Regions from separate parts of the Mus musculus genome. Here all the other regions are reported to be linked to region 1. The links are microRNA targets in miRTarBase. Many come from high-throughput screens and were not tested one by one. Region 1 holds a microRNA gene; each other region holds the end of a gene's coding sequence.

Evidence for each region. Region 1 holds the annotated microRNA mmu-miR-687 (CUAUCCUGGAAUGCAGCAAUGA, at 3,981-4,002, shown strand). A microRNA usually pairs through its seed, bases 2 to 8, with sites in the 3' UTR of a target mRNA and lowers its output. Matches are read on the target gene's strand: a 7mer-m8 pairs with bases 2 to 8, a 7mer-A1 pairs with bases 2 to 7 and ends in A, and an 8mer does both.
Region 2: miRTarBase lists Gli3 as a target of mmu-miR-687. Seed matches in the 3' UTR shown: 7mer-m8 at 3,714-3,720.
Region 3: the mRNA of Ptdss1 is a reported target of mmu-miR-687. Seed matches in the 3' UTR shown: 7mer-m8 at 1,282-1,288 and 7mer-A1 at 2,032-2,038.

What each region holds. Positions count from the first base shown.
Region 1 is chr14:73,203,610-73,210,809 of GRCm38, reverse strand. Mir687 (microRNA 687) reads left to right here and starts at 3,959; the gene lies at 3,959-4,047. It overlaps Rb1 (RB transcriptional corepressor 1), which reads left to right. Exons shown (of 27, transcript NM_009029.3): 21 at 3,491-3,595; 22 at 4,687-4,800; 23 at 4,903-5,066.
Region 2 is chr13:15,725,582-15,732,781 of GRCm38, reverse strand. Gli3 (GLI-Kruppel family member GLI3) reads right to left here. Exons shown (of 15, transcript NM_008130.3): 15 at 2,756-7,200. The coding sequence ends at 6,001. Among named protein-coding and RNA genes, the nearest start is that of 4933412O06Rik, 73 kb to the left of the region's middle.
Region 3 is chr13:66,996,064-67,003,263 of GRCm38, forward strand. Ptdss1 (phosphatidylserine synthase 1) reads left to right here. Exons shown (of 13, transcript NM_008959.3): 13 at 905-2,338. The coding sequence ends at 1,014. 4933433G19Rik (RIKEN cDNA 4933433G19 gene) reads right to left here. Exons shown (of 9, transcript NR_045851.1): 6 at 7,076-7,200; 7 at 3,897-3,972; 8 at 2,487-2,625; 9 at 755-991. Among named protein-coding and RNA genes, the nearest start is that of 4933433G19Rik, 33 kb to the right of the region's middle.

The sequences.
Region 1 (7,200 bases):
CCTAGCTTCCTTTTTCTTCTTAAAGGGGATAAAAAACATTTAGAGGAGTGTGTGCAGTTTATCAAAGCATACATTTTTAAATGTATAGTTCAGTGATTTAGTATATTTGTAGAGTTGTAAAACTACTAACACAATCTATTTTATTTAAACCATTTTCTCACACCAAAGAGAAACTCTGTTGTCTCTAAGAGTCCTCAACAACATAAATCTACTTTCTTTTTCTGTAGATTTGTCGAATCTGAACATTTTATGTAAATAGAATCATATGTAATTTCATATTTAGGGTGTGTGTGTGTGTGTGTGTGTGCGCGCGCGCGCACGTGTGTGCAGGTGTGCAGGGTAGGGTCCTGACTGAGTTCTATGACCTTGCAAATCCTAGGCAAATGTTCTTCCACTGAACTTCGTCCCCAGCCTTGAGTGTGGATGGCTTCTTTATAGAGCACAGGTTCAAGGTTCATCTGTGTTGTAGTTTCTGTCACATACTACATTATGTTTATAATTCATCAGTTGATAGAAACTGGATTATTTCTTCTTTGATGTATTATGAATAATGTCAATATTCATATATAAGGTTTGTAAAACATGTTTTTATTTTTCTATGTATATGTAAGTAAAATTTCTGGGTCATATGTTAAATCTTTAACCTTTTTGAGAAATGGCAGGGATATTTTCTAAAATGGCTTTACCAATTTATGTTTTATTTTTAAAGATTTATTATTTTTAAGTGTGTGTGGGAGGGTGTTTCTATGTGTAGGTACATGCATGTTTACAGTATCTGTGAAGGCCAGAGACATTGGGTCCCCTGGGGCTGGATCATAGGCATATGTAGCTGGTAGCTAATGATAGCGAACATCTGCTTTAGAGAAGTGTGTGTTAAAATCCTTTCTGAAAAGACAGCAAGAGTCTTCCTCACTGAGCGTGGCGGTGTGCAAACAGACCTCAAACTCACAGAGCTCTGCCTAAGTCTGCCCCTCAGTTCTGGAATTAAAGGCACAGCCACCACAACAGGCGGCAATGATTTAAAAAAAAAATATGTTCTGTATATATCTTTTTCTATGAAATATGTGTTTTGAAAATGTTTTATCCTCTGAGAAACTTCAGGTCATCTTTGGTTTGTTTTTTGTTTTGTTTTTTGCTTCTTTTTTTTTTGTTGTTGTTGGTGGTGATGGTTGGTTGTTTTGGCTACTGGTATTTTGATGTATGAACAAAAACATTGTCAAGTTTGGAGGCATCAAGACCTCATTTTTCCCAAGAGCTTTGTGCTCTTAGTTTTCTGTTTCAGTTTCAATCCACTTTGACTTAGTTTTGCAAGAGGGCAGGGGAGGACTTCTCCCTCCAGTTGTTCCAGCACAGGAGCCCCACCCCCCTCTTTCCTCTCACTCTTTCTCCTTGGTGTGAATCCAGGGCCTCTTACTTTGTGGCAAACACTTCACTGAGCTATGCCCATTCCCACACCATCTCTTGAAATGCATCCTTTTTTTTTATTATTATTCTTTTTCTTTTTCTCTGTTGACAGCTGTTGAAAGTCTATTGATTTTTTTTTTTTTTTAGTGTACACATGTTTATTCCTGAGACTCATTTCCAGTCTGTTATCTATGTAGCTATTTTGGTGAGAATACACTGTCTTAGTTACTATAGCATTCCAATTTTTTGGAATAAAGAGACACAATTGTACTTTGTTCTTTTTGCAAGATCAATTTAACTGTCCTGAAACTTAAATTTCCATGTGAGTTTTAGGACTGACTTGTCATTTTCTCTGAAGATTTTGAAAGAAAGTTCACGGGCTAATGTGTCAGTTTGGGGGATGTCACATGTAGCATGAAGTCTTCAATCCATACGGAGGATGCGGCTCCTTCCCATCCTTCCAGGCTTTAATTTCTTTCAATAATAGTTTATAGTTTTCAGAATACAAGTCTTACATTTATTTTTTTAAAGATTTATTTACTTATTATAAGTAAGTACACTGTAGCCGTCTTCAGATACTCCACTCCACAAAAGGGAATCAGATCTCATTACAGATGGTTGTGAGTCATCATATGGTTGCTGGGATTTGAACTCAGGACCTTCAGAAGAGCAGTTGGTGCTCTTAACTGCTGAGCCATCTCTCCAGCCCCTTACATTTATTTTATTAACTATACTCCTATGTATTCTATTCTCTTTAATAATAAAGGAAATTATTTTTATTTCATTGTTTTGTTGATCTGTGTGATTTTTGTATCAGCAAAGTATTAGCTTCATACAGATAGTTGGGAACTTCTAATTTCAGAAGAACTTTTTAAGAATTGATATTGATATTGAGTCTTTTTCTTCTTGGAATTTTGCTGAATTCACCAATGAGGTCCCATAGGTATGGGGATTTGTGTGTGTGTGTGTGTGTGTGTGTGAACACTTACTGTTTAGTAATTCAAAATTAGCTTTTTTACTTTTCAGTCGATATTGGCATCTGCATAACTTGAGGAACTTAGTGTCATCTTAGTTCTTTTAGTGGTGCATAATTTTCATAATATTCTCATATAATCCTCTTATTTCAGTAAGACTGGTAATGTTCCCAACAAGAATGATATTTTAAACAAAAACATAATTATAACTTAACATGTATTTGGATGTATAAGCTGCAGTACACTGTGTTTTTAAATAGATAGCTATTATTTTATGTTCCTGCCACTTTCTATAAAAGGGAAACCCAGATTCCTAGAGATTTTTTTTTTTTGCAATTCCGAGTTTTATGAGTGAAACGTGAAGATATTAAAGTAGAAGAAGACTATCAGTTGGTCTGTCGTCATCAGTGGCGCTCGGTGGGAAGCTCAGTCATCACACACTGAGCAGGGGTGGGGATAGAAACCTTTGCTCAGAGCAGATGGAAGCAAAAATGGTACAGAAATGACCAACACTTGAACTAGACCAAAAAAGCCGTTTTAAAAATTGATATTTAAGGCCCCAGGGAATCATTTTCAAATCTTAGTTTTACATTTTAAATGTTGTTTTATTGAAAGATACCATATAGAAAATCCATTTATCATAAGGATATGTTCTGATGAAAATTGAGCAACAAAACAGATCCAGCCTACATTCAGATCACAGATCACAACACCATGAGCAATGTAAGGTCTGTCAGCAGCACTTTCTTACTCCCTAGATTATTACATGTCACTTCAGTTGATAGCTTGAAACTTTTCACACAGCCTTAAAACAGTATTCATCATACAATTAGCTTGTTCTAAGAGTTTCAATACTTTTGATATATACTAAAGAACTGAAGCCAAAGTCAGGGTACTTTACAAACTTGGTAGTCAGTCATGAGTAATTGAGTTAGCTGCTTGCATTTTGTTCTGTAAATACAAATGTTTTGATTAAATACCTTATGTAGACTTTTGAACAGCTCAGAATAAGGGGAAAACTCAGAAGAAATTAAATTTCCTTCTTTTAATAATACTTAAAAGAGCCAGGTGAGGTAGTATGGTCCCTCATGCCTCTGTCACTCGCTTGCTAGATTATGATGTGCTCTATGTATGGCATCTGCAAGGTGAAGAACATCGACCTCAAGTTCAAAATCATCGTCACTGCCTACAAGGATCTTCCTCACGCTGCCCAGGAGGTAGGTAGCCGCTCATGGTAAGACTGAAAAATAAATCAGTATTCATAGTTTACTTCAGTTGTTAAATAGAGATCATATATCCTTATTTACTTCTTTAGTGTTGGTTAATTATTTGTAACTGAAGTATAATTATAAAACTATGGCAAACTATGAAATCCAAATCTTCATAAATAGTACTATATTTGTATATAATAATAACTGGGGTATTTGAAATAAACTTTGACATAACATATAGTTTTTATTTTTCCGCAGGAAAAGATACTATAAGTCAGTCCTTATAAAGACCTAGTAAAATTTCCCAGTGCAAGCCCATTTTATACCTCTAAATTCTTCTCCCACAGATGCTATCATGGTAAAACACACATAGTCTGACACACATTTTACACTATCCTGGAATGCAGCAATGAATCCTGGGTTATTGTTTCAGTCTGTCATTGTATTCTTGGAAAGTGATACAAACCAGTTTAGTTTGCATTATATATTTGGAGTTATTTTCTAAATTGGTTATATACATATTGTTTAACAGAGGCACTCCATAAGATGTCTTTAGTTTTACCTGATGAACATTTATACAAGTGGGACCTGGTGTCCCAGACCTGTAATTCTCATTCAGAATAAGTGAGAAGAAGATGTCACGAAGTATGAGGTTGCATAGCTAGACCCTGCTTATTAAACAAAAACTTGTTTGTAAAAATCTACTTAAAAAATCTGTTTCTACTACGAAAAATCTGTTTCTTGCAGGAGAGTGGTGTACATGTTCTAAACCCTTTAGATGAGGGGTTGAAAGCTGCTACGGGCCAGTGAATGTTGTCTGTATAGTAGTGCTGATGGTGCTGGGTTTTGGTTAGCACAGCCTAACTCCCTTGTAGAATGGCCAGCATTCTGTCGGTGGCTGCCAGGCCCCTTCTCTGGATCACCTTGGTGACATTTCACTTTAAATAGGGTACCTATAATTTCAGTCTAAGGGAGCCTTGGTTAGATTATTGTTTTCTGTATAAAATGTGTTTTTTAAATAAAACTAAATACAATTATTTTAAAATAAAAGTTAAAGAGAAGTTCTTAAATTTATTTAACATGTTTTTTTTCCTTAGACCTTTAAACGTGTTTTGATCAGAGAAGAGGAGTTTGATTCCATTATAGTATTCTATAACTCCGTTTTCATGCAGAGACTAAAAACAAATATTTTACAGTATGCCTCCACCAGGGTATGTTGAAAATATTCTTTAATTGGATAAATCTAATAACAATATAATGGATCCTACCAAAATACTACATCGATGATTTTTTTTCTTTTGTTTTGGGTCTAGCCTCCTACCTTGTCACCAATACCTCACATTCCTCGAAGCCCTTACAAGTTTTCTAGTTCACCCTTACGGATTCCTGGAGGTAACATCTATATATCACCCCTAAAGAGTCCTTATAAAATTTCAGAAGGTCTGCCAACACCCACAAAAATGACTCCGAGATCAAGGTTGGTGTTTCCTTTTTAAGGGAATGCTGAAAACAGTAATACTGCACTTGGCAATTTTGATTTAAACATGAAAATGTAAAGCTTTTTAAAATTCAAAATGGGATAGGCTGTTGAATGTCTGATTTCTTTATGTGCATTTAGTGAATGTGTGAAAAGGGTTTTTTTGGGGGGTGGGGGGCAAAGAAAAGGTGTGTGCCTGGATGGGCTTGTGTATCACTCGTGCTTGCCTAGCTGCTGAGGTCTCTTCTGTGTATAGCTTAAGAACCGATATCCACGTGTGCCTCAAAACACTAATAGTTTCATAAGCCATCAAAGTAGAACATTTTAGGTTAACATGTTTGTTTGTTTGAAACAGGGTCTCACTATGTAGCCGTTGGCTGGCCTGGAACTTGCTAAGTAGAACAGGCAGGGTACATACTCAGAGATCCACCTGCCTCTACCTCCTGACTGCTGAGATTAAAGGTGTATGCCATCACACCCAGAATCTTTATTAAAAATTTACTGTAAGCTCCATGGATTATAGTGTTTTGCTTGTTATGAAAATGGAGTCATTAGGGCTGGCAGCATGTACCACCCATGAAAGTACTCGCCACAGAACTAATGACCTGAGTTTGAGTCCTGGATAGAAGAAGCAGAGAACCAGCTTACAAAAGTTGTTCTCTGATTCTGAGACACTTGCTCACACTCACACACACAGATCATTCACACACAGAAATAGAAATAAGGATATACGCTTTGGAGTCTGGCTTTGAAGCCCTTCACTGGACTACTTAGGTGTTATCATAGGCTACTTGAAACTGGCTGGATGTTTATAAAGCAGAAGTCCCATTAACTAGTATAGTTAATGCCATCTCAGCAGCCGTTTTCAGTACCTGTAGTTTGTACCTGGTGGGCAAGAAAAGTAAATGAGAAGAAGCACTTTATTAGCTTCTTAGAAGCTACCCGAGTAGTACAGTAATTACATGAGAAATGCACACTTGTGAATACATTTTCAAACTTTGTAGAAAAACATGAAGTAAAACATAACTGGAAATACGGTGAAAGGCTGCTGTGTGTGTCCAGATCCCTCTCTGTATGATGTGCTTTGTAACTGATTATCTGTGTACAGGTGTCCTCAGCTCACTGTGTAACATGCTAAGATGTAACACCATGTCTTCTTAGGTAAATGTACAGAGTCCCATGCTGCCACATGACTTGGCAGTGTATACTCTGGAAGTTTCTGATGGTGATAAATAATCCATATTATGATTATAATGATGGCTGTTTGCTGATCTTAATCAAAATCAGTTCTGTATTGCTATTCTTTGTTCCCATTAATTTATTAATTTATTTACCATACATTCTGATTGCTACCCTCCCCTCTTCCCAGTTCCTACCTCCCCAGTTGCTAATCTTATTTTTTTTTCCTCTAAGAAGCTTTATCTTTCAATATGTAACCCAGGGTAGCTTCAAACTCACTGCTTCAGTTTCTCAAGTACAGGAAGGAAACAACAAGCCCAGCGTGCATTGGTGCTAATTTTAGCCAGGGAAAAGGTCACACTATTAAGCATCCCAATGGGCACATCACTGGTAAAGCGTTAGAGAACTGTGGCATTCTGTTCATGCAGCATGCTTAGGTACTCTGATTAATCAAATGTGCGTGGGAGGATGTCACTTAACCAAAGAGATGGAAGACAGGACAATCTACATAGCTACTACTTCTTTATTGAGCTACATATAGAAATGCTTTTTCACCTTAATTATCAAAAATATAAATTATAACTAAGATTAAGTCTGGTAACATAGACCTATAATCTCAGCTGCTTAGGAGGCTACACCTGCTGGCCAACTCGGTGAGACCCTGTCTTAAACTAAAAGGTCAAAGTTTTGGGATGTAGCTTAGCGATAGAGTTCTAGCTTAACACATTTGACAAGGCCCTAGTTTCAACCCCTTGTAATGTGGCTGAAATGAAGACAAATGGAATAAGTATCTCACATAACAAATAGCATTTACTAAATACCAATATAAATACTAATTAAAATGTGATTATTTCTTTATAAGCATACATTATAAAGTTATATTTCTTGGGATGAGCGGGGCTCGCATGCCATGGCACACATGGGTAGGACAGAGAACAGCTTTGTAGAGACTGTT
Region 2 (7,200 bases), not on the chromosome of region 1:
TTTGCATTTTGCATTTTCTTTGATTGTTGTGCCCATGTTCTCTATGGAATCTTCAGCACCCGAGATTCTCTCTTCCATCTCTTGTATTCTGTTGCTGATGCTCACATCTATGGCTCCAGATTTCTTTCCTAGGGTTTCTATCTCCAGCGTTGTCTCATTTTGGGTTTCCTTTATTGTTTCTATTTCCCTTTTTAGGTCTTGGATGGTTTTGTTCAATTCCATCACCTGTTTGGTTGTGTTTTCCTGTATTTCTTTAACGACTTCTACCTCTTTAACAGTGTTCTCCTGTATTTCTTTAAGTGATTTATTAAAGCCCTTCTTGAAGTCCTCTACCAGCATCTTGAGATATGATTTTGGATCCTAGTCTTACTTTTCGTGTGTGTTGGGGTATCCAGGACTGGCTGAGGTGGGAGTGCTGAGTTCTGATGATGGTGAGTGGTCTTGGTTTCTATTAGTAAGATTCTTACATTTGGCTTTCACCATCTGGTAATCTCTGGAGTTAGTTGTTATAGTTGTCTCTGATTGGAGCTTGTTCCTCCTGTGATTCTGTTAGCCTCTGTCAGCAGACCTGGGAGACTAGCACTATCCTGAGTCTCAGTGGTCAGAGTACTCTCTGCAGGCAAGCTCTCCTCTTGCAGGGAAGGTGCACAGATATCTGGAGTTCAGACCTGCCTCCTGGCTGAAGATGAAGGCTCAAAACAGGGCCTTTCCCAGATGTGTTGCCTCTGCAGTCTGTATGCTCACCTGCACAGACTGGTCTCCGAGGGACAGGGGACACAAGATGACTCTCTCATCTGCTCTGGTGGTCAGAGTCCTTCCAGGCAGACACCTCTCCTCTGCCTGGAATGTCTGGAGCCCGAAACAGGGTCTGTCCCAGAAGCTGTGTTGCTTCTGTAGTCTGCACTCTCACCTGGGCAGACTAGTCTCTGAGGTATCCGGACCTAAGATGGCCCCCTTACCTGCTCAGGCCAAGCCCTCCCAGGCAGAAACCTCTTCTCTGGCGGGGAAGGAGCTCGGATGTCTGGAGCCCGAAAAGGGGTCTGTCCCAGAAGCTGTGTTGCTTCTGCAGTCCTCTCATTCACCCTTCCAAATTCAAGCTTTCTTATTTTTCCCCAAATTTATTTGGATACATTTTGTGAGAGATCAAAGCATTTGGGGGCAATGGAATTTCCCCTTGGGAATGAATAGGGCATGCTCAAGTTCATGTGTGCCTGTGTTTACAAAGGATGCTCTGATACTGTGTCTTGGGATACCCAGTCAGCACCCGTTTCCCAGCAACAGTGCTAAATTGATGGCATACAACATGCATTGACAAAGTGCAAAGGAGACCTTAGACGGTAATGTGGAGAGCACTACTGCAAACCAGTGTGAAAATGCAAAGACAAAGATATTTCTAAATGGAGTTAGTCATTGAAAGCCACGTTAAAGTAAGCCTCCATGGGGCTGGAGAGATGGCTTAGTGGTTAATGGCACGGGCTATTCTTCCAGAGTTTGATTCTCAGCACCGACATGGTGGCTCAAGACTACATGCAACCCTAGTTTTAGAGGATCTGATGCACTCTTCTGGCTCTGTGGGTACCAGATATACACATGGTTTATAGGCATATATACAGACAAAACACTCATACACATAGAATAAAGTAGAAATTTAAAAGAAGTGTGCTGGAAAAGTCTCTATATTGCCAGGTTTTCATTTATGTGTTCGTGTATCTCTAGATAAAAGGATAGTATATAAAAAGGAGACAAGTTGTCAGATTTTTAACCCTCTTATCACCCTTCCACAGAATTGGACAAATCAGTAAAAATAAGAAACATAGGCCTATTAACATGCTCTGTACAACCTTGTGTATGTGAGGTGAATGTCTTATACTATCAATTAATTTGCCAGCATTTTCATCTCCTTCTAGTGAATAAATACAGTAAATTCAACTGGTGTGATGGATACTATTCTTAGTTGTCACTTTTACTACATCTGGAATTAACAAAAGCCCAAATGACTGGGCATACCTGTGAGGGATTTTTTTTTTTCTTAATTAAATCATCTGGAAAGACTCACTTCTAATCCATGTCTTTGAGGCAGGATGGTAAACCTCTAATCCAGATTTCTAAGGTGGGAGGATCTATCTTTAACTTAGACTTCACTTCTTGGAAGAAGGAAATAATCGCTTTCCTTGTTTGCTCTTGTTAGCAAGTATATTTCTTCACTGGCATTAAAGCCTACTTCTTTGGGATTTCAGAGAACACTGAAGACCATGGATTAAACAACTACTGGATTTTTGGACCTTCTGTTAATATGTAGCCATCGTTGGATTAGCTAGACCACAGCTTGTAAGCCAGTTTAATAAATCATACACACACACAAACACACACACGATCTCTATGATCTCTGTCTCTCTAGAGACCTCTAACATAAGTCTAATATAACCCTGGAGCTAGAGTTGCATGCCTTTATGTGCTACCATGTGGGTGCTGAGAATCAAAGCTCAACTCTCTGGAACAGCCAGTGCCATTAACCAATGAGCCATCTCACCAGCCCATGGAGGCTTACTTTAACACAGCTTCCAGTGACTATCTACATTCAGAAATGTTGTCTCCTTTGCTGTTCACACTGGTTTGCAATAGTGCCCTCCACATTACCATCAGAAGTCTCCTTCCCATGGACTCACTGGGGAGTCAACTATAGCCTGGGGAGTTTTCTTGAGAACGTGTCCTTTTCTTAAAAACAGGAATTAAATAAAAGAAATCCAGTAGAATATTTCAGTACAAAGTTTTTTTTATTGACACTGTAAGAAACATTTTTATTATTTATTTATTTTTTTCTTTGTTATAAAAGGACTAAGTGGTTCTGAAAGCCAAGGCAGAGTTCATGTTTCTGGGCTGCCATTCTCATGGCTTAGGAGCACTGAGCAGCCACAGGCTTTTCCAAGGAAGGCCCGAGGCCATCACATCCCAACTCTACGTCTACAATACTTGAATGTATTTACATTGTGTTGTTCTTTAAAAAGGATTACACATTTTCTTCTTTAAAAAATCTAAAAAATGGTGGCGAAAAGGAACACAGTTTATTTTACACATCTGCAGGATATACAAGCGTAACTTGTCAGAGGAGAACACCCTCCTATTAGCTTCAAACAACACAGGAAATCGGGTCACCCAACACCGCAGACTGCCACAGTCCTGTGTTCACTTCCTGGTGACACTGTCTGGGCATGCAGCCTCTGAGTGCTGACTGGACAACAACAACAACTGGTCCTTCTCATCGACAAGAGAAACATAAAATAAGGCACATACATTGCAAGAATCAAAACCCGTGGCTCAGGACAAGCCAACACGTGAGGAGCAGGGAAGTGAGTTCTTTAATTCTTTAGAAAAATTATGGAAAAAAACAAACAAACACCAAACCATTTAACACAGACATTAAACAAGAGTACCATGTATGAGCCTGTACTTTCATTAAAAAGCAGCTGTGTGTGACATGAGAGAGCCAAAGCTGTTTCTCCTAAATACAAGAGCCAAGGACTGGAAAGGGGCTGCTGACCAGGAGTGGGATTTTGACAGGAAAGACCAAGCCTAAAGAGATCTCATGTCCCATGGGTTAGCTATAGTGACCAAATGATCATTCTTGAACTGGACTATCAGGACAGATTGGTGAAATCTTGGGATAGAACACTTTTGACTCTCCTTTTTTTTTTTTTTTTTTTTTTTTAAATCTGTATCCTGAAATCTTCATATCAAGAAAGGTCAGATAGTGAGTGGAAACATCAACTCCAAAAATCTAAAGGCAATAGCTTGAAAAATAAGGATGAAAAAAAAAAACAATGAAAAAAGAAAACAATGAAAAAGTCAAAAGCAGAAGGTAAGAAGGCAGGGGTGCTGGCTCTGTGCACTGCATTCCTAGGAGGGACCGCTAACATGGAAAATCACTGCACTTGAGAACATCAAGGTCACATGCAAGGCCTCCACCTAGAGAGGTCTCTGCTGCAGGAGGCAATGGGTGTGACCAGAAACCAAGCTCATTCTTCTTGCTGAGGAAGGAAGAATTCCTGAACCCCTTCTTTGAAATCAAAAGTAATAAAGAGATTTGGCCAAATAATAAGGCATGCCAGGTCAGACCCAAACCAGAGATTAAAAAACAAAAAAGACTTTTGATAAATGAAATTCAGGGATTCCATCACCCATTTTGTGATGACACTGTGACCTGTTTGAGGCAAAAAGAAGCCTTGCTTTATTTACTCTCCTGAACTCAGACCAGTAATTCCCCTTTCTTGTGGGCTGTCCTTTGATTTATAAGGAACCTCTGGGAGAAGGCTGCAGGGCACGGTGAACTTACAGATGGTTTGACTGGTCCTGGGGACATCTATCAGAAAGCTAGCTTAGCCACAACGTCATCCTACATGGCAAAGTTTCTTCCCTGGTGAAGTTTGGGCTCCAAAAGAGAGAAAACAGGCCTAAGTGAAATTGGCTGGTCATAGCATCCTTCCTATTACCTAACACCTACTGGGTTTCGCCTTCCTACTCCTAAATTTACAGGCAGGATTTAAGAGGAGAAGTCACACAACCCGGTCAATAACAGCCTTGGGGAAATTCCATGTTGGGGCTGATGGGTAAACACTTTAATTGTTTACGGTTTTAAAGTAGTATGCTAAGATAATCCCTGAACTCTGTGTACACACAGTATGACTCTCATATCTGATCTACATGTGAAGAGCAGCTGCACTGTGTAAATCTTTAAAATCTGAATACAAAACAAAAGCCCTAGTCCAATGGTAAGGACTAATGGTATCTGAAATTCACATGGCTACTAAACATCAACTTTCATGCTCTCCAGTGCTAAAACTGGTTAAAGTAATTTATTTCTGATGTCAATGTATGTGAGTTTTGCCTTTTATAACTAGGTTTTACACATCTTTCCTTTATAATAGGGCACTTAGAAAGGACATATTCTCTTGCTGTAGTGAATTTAATAAACGGTAGTGATGTATCCAGTTGTGGGCTGCTTAAATACCTACTTAGAGCTATGTATAGTCAATTCAATTCTCAGTTACCTATGACAATGAGGAAAGAGGTGGGACTAATGAATAATTATAGCAAGTCCAAAAAACAGTCCTCCAAGTAATTCTACCCAATTGTTTCAACCTATAATTGGTCTAACTTCGTACCAAAAAGCTAAAAGTGTGACACATCTGAACACCAACTGCCTGTCCACTCTCACTGCAGTGCTAAATAACACTGAATGTTCATAAAGGTGAAGGGAATGTACAGGAGATAATGGAGAGCTGACCATATAGACATACCCACGGGATGCGTACTTACATAAGAATTACCCCCTATAAAAACCCTCATCAAACTACTTCATTTCCAGGATCCCCACATTTCCACTTTTGTGAAGCTGTTAAAAGTATGCCCTGAATTGAATCAAGGTGGAGGACACGTGAAAACCTGCTATTTATACTAACTATAGTGCACCCACAAATAATCTTCAAGCTCACTATTCATTCAATTCTTGTACTCAGTGTGGGAATAAAAAATACACATACACACATAAAAGCAAGTCACTGAGTACTGTAAAGAAAAACTTTAAAAAGGTGGACCTGTTACCCCTTGGTCACAAGCCCACCAATTCCTAGTTCCTGGGTTAGCAGAGAAGCAGGCCAAATCTTTTAACTTGATGACTTCTCTTCTAAAAGAAAGAACATGCGCAGTATACATTTACATTGGTTCACTCAAAAGAGGGCAGGCTTACAGGTTTAAAAAAATACAAAAAACAAAAAAACAAGGGTGATTTGAATGTCACAATACTGATTCAAACTGAAATGGAAGACAGTTCCTCCCCTAGAATACCTTAGGGTTTTTCAGAGTCCTTTTCCATAAAAGGAATATACTTGAGACACATCCCAATCAGGTGAGATGAGATTGCTAAAATACACACAGAACTTAAAAAAGAAAAAAAAATCCCAAGTCATTTCAGTCTTTGTGTTTGTGGTCCTCCTTGCCTACCGCCTACTGCATAACTGCAAGGAACTTGCTTTCTTCTGCAAGGGAGGTCAGCAAAGAACTCATATCCCCGATAGCCATGTTGGTGGTGCCCATGGATAGGGATGGGAATGGGAGGGATGCCCGCGGAGTGGTGAGACGGGAGGAGCTGTGGGAAAGGTTCTGAATAATACTTGGGCTCAAGGCCCCTGACATTAGGCTGGTATGGTCCCCATCATCTATGATGGCATCAAAATCAATCTGCACACCTTCTAGGTCATGACTCTCAAAGCTGTCAACTGTGCTTGTTACCTGGTTAGCACCTGGGGAGAGTAACTCAGAGTTTTCAGTGCCATTCCCTTGGAGCAGGCAGTTGGCATCTGAGAGGGAGAACGAGCCAGCTTTCCTGTCTTGCTGACTGAAGCCCATGGTTTGGTCATAGAACTGACCGGAATAATTCTGCACGGTAGAGCAGAGCTGCTGGGACTGACCTTGTGCCTCCATTTTGATGCTGTTCACCCTGCTGCTCTGACTCATGTCACTGAGCTGTCCTTGTTGCAGAGTGAGGTTGCCCCTTGGCATTGCCTGACGCCTGTTACCCCCATAGCTGGCACAGGGCTGGTAGCCCCTGATAGCTGCCATGCTTGATGGCTGGCTGCTGTTGTCCTGAGTCCCTGGTAGGCAGCTCTCTGTCCCTTGATAGATGTTGATATGTGAGGTAGCACCAACCTGCCCTAGTACCTGTTGACCAGGGCGGCTGGGCCCCTGGTGTTGCATGCTGCCACTGAGTAGCTGATGGGCAATGTATCCCTGTCCCATTTGATCTTGGGTTTGCATGCCATTCACTGTGTTGCCAGCTAACTCATTTGGTGCCACGGACAGGCTGAAATCTAGCAAACCCCCATTCTCTTGCAAGCTGTTGCCTTTTAGCTTGGACCCTTGAATCCCTGTACCACAGGCATGATCTAGAGCACTGGAAGTCAGTGGCTGCCTGTTGAGCTGGCTCCCATACTGCTGGGTCTTAAAGGGCTGTTCATGGAAAGTATTTCCATTGGTGCCAAGTCCATCCCCACTGTGGATTGCAAAGTGCTCTGGGCCATTGTAGGTACTGCTATTCTCCCCGAGGGTCTGATATCCCCCAGCTGGGCCAGTGCCAACCTTCCACAGATTATGTGGGTGTACCACCATATTGTTGTATAGCCCAAAACCCCGAGGCTGCTGTGCGCT
Region 3 (7,200 bases), not on the chromosome of region 1:
CCTGTGTGGCCAAAGGGGTTCACTAGACTGACCTTCTCTGGGCCCATCCAGTTACATAATCAGCCCTGGGCATTCCTCGTTCTCCAATAGAAAGAATTTATGTGTGCAAGTGATGCAGCATATGAAGTGTGTGTGCGTGTGAGAGAGAGAGAGAGAGAGAGAGAGAGAGAGAGAGAGAGAGAGAGAGAGAGAGAGAGAGGAGAAACTTTTCAGAACCTTTGGGACTGTGACAAATACTTCGAATGAAGACAAAATGCTTCTGGGCCTTTGGGGAGTGGCGTTAAGTGGCTGTCTTTGGTAAATATTTCACCCAGAACTGAACCAGAACACTGAAGAAGAGAGGGTTTAGGCTTAGCCACTCCCTTAGGGGCTGGCCACATCCTCATATCAGAGGAAACAGTAGCCCTAGTGTTACAATGTCACCTCAGGGCTGTCACTCAGAGCATCAGGTACCTTGCCTGTAAAGATCTTGATGTCTCTGCTAATAGTTTTAAAGTTATAAAGTCAAGAATCTTTTCCAACTGAGACCTTACAAAGCCTGTCTAACCGTTCAGTGTATACAGACTTGGGGAATCTATACTGTAGCTGTAAGCATAAGATGGATACCTACCAGTGTGGCTGAACTTTTATTAATGTTTATGCTTTCATTTGAACTCACTTCTGGTCCTCATGACTGTGTCCCAGACTAAAAATTACTTAGAACTCCAGTTTTATGGGACAGTTACCTGGTACACACAAGGCATAGACAAGACTGTCAGATTCCCCTGGCCTTAATTTATTAATGGGGCCACTAGAGGGACATCAAGTAAGAATTGGATTTTAGCTGAGAAGCATGGCAGATCCCAGGAGTCAGCCACAAAGCCCAGAGGCCCCTGGTGATAATGTGTTGGCTTTCTTTGGGCAGGTTCTGAAGACAGCCCACCGAAGCATTCAAGCAACCACGAAAGCCATTCTTCCAGAAGAAGGAACCGGCATTCTAAGTCCAAAGTCACTAATGGAGTTGGAAAGAAATGAAGGAAGCTAGTTAATGTCAGATGTTCCAGAGTGCCTAGACCCGAGAGGAAAACAGCATATTTGGACCTTCCTATGCAGAGATCATAATGTACGGAAAGAACCGAGGGAGCTTAGGGGATCGTGACTTGAGAGTGTAAGTCTTGTCTCCCATAGACCTGGACACACACTAGGCTGACCATGGCTCGGGGTCCTTTGCCAACTGGAAGAGTCTCTAAACTTCAGCGTATGGCCTGCATTCTCTGGTAGCAATACAGTGTGCTGGAAGGACAGGATAGCTGTTTATTCCCAGCTGCCAGCAGTGGCTCTCTGCTGGTGTGTCTTGTGGATGTTGTATAAATGTCTTCATTCAGATGTTGACTTAACTAACTGGCTAATGAACTGGTCGCTTGGTTTTATTTTTATGAGTCTGCCTGTCCATTTGATTGATTGTTTAAGTTCAGAGAGTCTGCTTTTACTTCATGTTTTTGAGTTAAATAGCTTCAAAGCTTCCAGAATCCACTGCTGAAATTGGGGGAGGGTTCCTTCTAGAGAAACAAAGGGTGGAAGGAGCTTTGGTGTCCCAGCTAAGCATACTCAGTCCCCAGCCACATGGCAGATGACCCCAGCCGGAGTGAAGAGGCTGGCTGCTGGCACTGGAGCCTCGGCTTCAGATTAGAACTGTTTTGTTCCCTTCCAGACACTGTCCAGACTGAGTGCACAAGAACGACCTTGCGAGCGGATCTGGGACAGTGGGGCTCCCTGCCAGGGTCCTTTTCCATGTGCTTGGTTTTTCCTCTGTGATGTTTTGCCTACTCTGTCTTTCTGGCTCATGTGAGGTGCTAGTGGGTATTAATTAACTTTCATCTGTGCCATGTTCTACTAAAACATTCTCCCTGTCTACCCTGGATCCTTGTTTTAAATATATCAGTTCACATTAAACAGCTCATCAATGATCTGTCTTTGTTAGAATGATGTTTCTTTGTATCTTATTAGTCTTTTAACTACTTGGAGGCAAGTTCATATTTTGCAGTTGACCTTAGGATAATATGTATGTATGTGTGTTCTATATGGTAAAGAAAGAAAAAAGAAAAAATATATTTTAAAGGGGCTTACACATATATGTCCTATCTGAACCTTCCAGAGTGATCCACAGGGAATGGAAGTGTATGCAGGGGCATTGTCTGTCACTATGGTCTTACTTACTAGGTTGGATTTTCTTTCTCAGACAAGTGGGCTGTAAAACAAACTTGCTACAAACAATCCTGCTGCTCACTCACCAAAGCACGATGATTTCTGTTTCTTTGCCTCCTTAAAGGGAGTCTTTGAACTATAAAAGTTATGTTTTATTTTGCTTTCTCTCTCTCTTTCTGTCCCTCCCTCCCTCCCTCCCTCCCTCCCTCCCTCCCTCCCTCCCTCCCTTCCTTCCTTTCTTTTTTGAAAAAGAATTCCCAGATGAGAGATTTAAATCAATCATGAAGAAAAACTCGACTCACCGTTATTGCTCTGGGTGAACACTTGAGTTAAGAGCCACCCACAGACTTGCTTTCTCAGCCAGCCACACATGTCCACTGGTCCACCCCAAGAGGCTATGGCAGGCCACAGCTCTAAACTTTGCCATAGTGTTCCATGAGCCTGTTTAAAGGGGAACAAAGAGGTACCTATCATTCCTCATCCCTCATTTTGCAGTTCTGGAATTGAACTTGGGGCCTCTTGTGTACTAGACACGGGCTCTGCTACTGAGATTTGGCTCTCTCCTCACATTCCATCAAACAAAACAGGCTTTTTTGGGGGGGTTTTCAAGACAGGGTTTCTCTGTATAGCCCTGGCTGTCCTGGAACTCACTTTGTAGACCAGGCTTGCCTTGAACTCAGAAATCCACCTGCCTCTGCCTCCCGAGTGCTGGGATTAAAGGCATGCGCCACCACGCCCGGCCAAAACAGGCTTTTATGAATATATTTATAACTTTTAAACATTGCTTTGCTTTGCAGATAGAAGAGTGTTTTATTTCTGTGCAATTTTGATAAGCCTAAAATTTTGTATTGCTCATATAGGTTGTATGAGGGTTTCCAAGTTTGTTTTCCAGGACAGTTCAGGGACTGGCACTGTGGGACTCATCTAGCGGGTAGGCCAACCCCTCTGAAGAGGCACATGCCCAACTTCTATAATTAGACAGAAAGTGCCTGTGGAGTGTGCAAGAATCAAAGCATACAAAGCATTATTTCTCTATGGCTTTGTAGGAAACAGCTAGGAAAGTCCTTAGATACTTTCCATGTGCATTGAATTCAAACTTTCATTTTCACTTTGAGAAAGTGTTTTAGCTACGGCAATGAGGAAACCAACACTGTGCATAACTGTGCCGTTTTCCCCCACACCATACCACTGGTCCTAGTCTAAGTTTCTGCCGACGTCTGGAAATTGACCCTAGGTTGATTGAAAGTAGAGCGTATGTTCCAGAGGTATCTGTTAGTGAGTGGTGACTATAAGTCATCTCATGACCCTCTTGAAAGATTGCTGGCTTTAAAGATACCACAGTTCATGGTGTAAAGCAGGAGGAGATTTTGAGTGTCTTTCTTGTCAAATCCTCTCCCTTTTGTTATCCTTGGTCCTTACAGGCCTCTCTCCTTTCCCTCATGTCCCTTTCACCTTTCACCAAGAGGCTTTGCCCACTTGCCCTCCCAGCCATGCTTAGATGTTCACTACCCCACTGAGGTTTTAGTGATACTCAGCATCTCGTAAATGCCAGCCTTTGCTGCAACTGCCTCCTAAGTGAACTTGGAAATCAAGGTCTCACCCAGGAAAATAAAATTAGTTCTATCAGTTCCAGCTTTCTTGGTTCCTACTTAGAAACCACTTGCTTTAGAGCATCCTAAGAAATAATACCTGCTTTGTTCAATAAGGCTTACCTTTTGAAATTTAGTCTAGAATGTTTGGAGGTAAATGGTGAATTTCCCAGCCTTCACAGAGTGAACAGAAGGGAGCCTGGGCAGAGGAAAAAAAGGTTTACCACTGGATGGGAAATAAGAAACTGGGCCTTTGGGGATAGACTGCAGTATACCCTCTAAACACTGGGTGCTTGGAACCCATTCGTTGTACTCGGTGACTGTCATGGGACTCCTGGGATCACCATATGTTTATTAGGTGAGTGTCACTTAAATATCTAGAAATCCAACAAGTGGACACTTGTACCTATGTATTTTTTATTTCTGTATGGAAAAAGACCTCTGGCTCCTGCATCCCAGCACCTAGTAGACCATCGCTTTTTTCTTTTTTTTTTTTTTTTTTTTTTACAAGGATGCATGTTGCTATGATTATATTTAAGATTTTGTTCTTTGCAGTAGATATTGGAGTGGCTGATACTGATGGGTCACAGTATTACTGCTCATCCAGAATTACTAGATTTTCATATCTCCCTTTATCACCTTTTATTCTAAACCTGATGATAAGACAGTCACAGGTAAAGGTTATAATATTTTTTTTTAGTCAGACTTTTGAAATTTGATGCAATAAATAAACATAGTAGCTTTTCAATTTTACTATCTTCTGTGGACTTAAAGTAATTTTGTTAGCATATATTGATTGTACGAAATAATATGTTTCCTTTCCATTCATGTATGCATTGTACTTAGATTATACTTCCCATCATTCCCTTTTGCTTTTCCTCTTACCCTGGTGGCCTCCTTTCTCTTCCCAAATAATTTAAAGGAATAATGACTAATGTCTACAAAAGAAGGGACAAATAGCTAGACTTGAATTGTTTAGCTTGAAGGCCTGCTAAATTGTAAAAGATCTTCCTTCTCTCTGATGTCTCCTAAAACTGTTCTTTGGTCCACTTTAAAATTTTCATCTGGGACTTTGTCTACCCTGCTATTACTTTCTTTGAATGTGTTGGACGGATTTAAAAGAAAAGAGAAGAAAATGACAAACAACAACAAAACAAAAACACAAGGGTTTTCTATGTATCCCAGGCTGGCCCTGAGATCACAGATGTCTTCCTTTTTCAGCCTACTGAGTGCTATGATTCCAGGCCTATAGAAACTTGAAGCTTCCTGACCTCTAAGGTGATATATTTTGCCACAGTCCCACACTGTTCAAAGGTTGCAATAGTCTAGGTCCCATTGAGGCTTCATATGGCTCAGCTTAGTTTATATTTCTCTATAATCTGGACCTCATTATTCATGCTGAAAACTGGCCTTTATATACAGTGTCCCTGACTCACTAGAGAAGTGCATGTCAGGCTAGCTTCCTACCCACAGTCCTAGGAAAGACTTCCAGGCCCCCTGCATGACTGACTGCTGTTTAATGCACAAAAGAGGGTATTAGCACATCTCGTCCACCAGCGCCTACTAATGACAGGAACATTATGGAGAAAATATAATTTGCTAGAAGACTTTGCTTGCCCAGCTGAGTCAACCAGCTTGAGGGCCTTTTCAGGTATCTGGACGTATGCTTACATTTTGTAGTATAACTATATGTTACTTACTGCATTTTCTTTGGTACTGGAATGTTCTGATGACATTGAAACTGTGAGGGTCTGTATATTGTGGGCTCCAATGGCCATAGTAGTCAGGCATTCACGTTCCAGGGTAGAGAGCCCTCTCCCCTTTCTACGTGCTGAAAAGAGGACTCTCTGTGGTTCCACAAACCACAACAAATGAGATTTGCCTATCATTAAAAGAAAGTGACTTCTCCAAATCTCATATAAAAGAACCAAAAGATTGTATTGGTATATGTAAAGTACACCTAATACCCTTCATTATAGGGTCAAATTGTAGGCAGGATGACAGAATGCTCCCTTTCTAGAAGTATGACCTCTGACTCGGCTCACTGTCATAACCAAGGGATGCTGGTCTCATTGCTCTGTATATCACAGGCTGATAAGGTTTGTTCTAGGCAGGTACAACCAGGAACGAGTAAAGTCTCTGGCTTGCCTGCTTATTAGGATCTCGTACCTTCTCTTGGAGTGGAAATACCCAGATCAGCTGCAGGAGGACAAGTTTTATATAGCACCATAGAGAACAAGTTTTCAAGACAACAGCACTTGGAACCTCTGAAACAACTGCATGTAGTTCTCAGAGCCCGTATATTTCCAGCAGCCTCCAAAACACAGGACTTCACTTATGCACCAGTTGCCAGAGTAATATCCTAATTCCAGAGGAAAGGTTGTCCCAGATGCTCACATGAATGTATGTTCTGTGAGCCCTGTAGTTTGATGGCCTTTTTCTTGGATAAGAGGCATGGGACAGTTGGACCCTTGTTCCTGAGTACTAGGCCAAGAAGAAGCTGTTAGGTCAACCCAAGGCTCTTTTTCGAGTCTGGACACAATGCTTATGTTCCTGTCCTGTTCTCCACCACCTGACAGAGCCTCTGTGCCTCCAGCCGCAGATGACTGGTGGACAGTCAGATTGTGTACGCCTCTTCTTCAAAGAGACTCAGGTATCAGGGCCTCATTTAAGGTGACCAAACTGCCACTTTCCATATGTTGGCTACAAGTCTAGTACTCGAAATTGGGGTCTGTCTAACCATTTGTGTACGTGGCCTGAACAGGCTAAGATTTCATCCCTAGAAACAAGATTCTACCTCTCTCTGGGAATCCTGTCCACTTCGCTCCCTCTGCCTGCAGTAATGTGATTTACAATCTGGAGAAGTCATAGAGCTTTGCCCTTCTCTTCTGAAAAAACAGAAAGTACTGGAAAGAATGTAAATTATACATAACAAATTTCTATAGTCACCAGTAATGGGATGGCTGGGGTGGGTTATTTTATTATATTTTTAATAAGGACTGCATGTGGCTTTAATTTCTAAGGCCCCATATTTCTAGGAAGAACAGATAACAGTGAAATGTCCTTCTGAGATAGTGGGTTTTTTTTTTTTTAATGGAAAATACTTCTTCATGACTTACTAAATACTTTGAAGTGATCATTCAACACTGATGAAGATGGGACAGTAGGTGGCAGTAACATTCTAATCTTTCTAGGATTAGCCTGTGTCAGTCCATCCCAATACCCAGTATTTATACTTAGCCACCTCCCAAATTTCACTTCGCAGGAGTTTTGGCTGGAGTAGTTTTGAGTTTTCTTTTTACCTCTCTTGGTGGAAATTCTGTTCAGGGATCACACTGCTACTGCAAGCAGGAAAAACAGCCTCAAAGTTGTCCTGGATCGTTGTGAGTCTGCTCTGGCTTATTTCACAAGCTAGACAGCAGTGGCC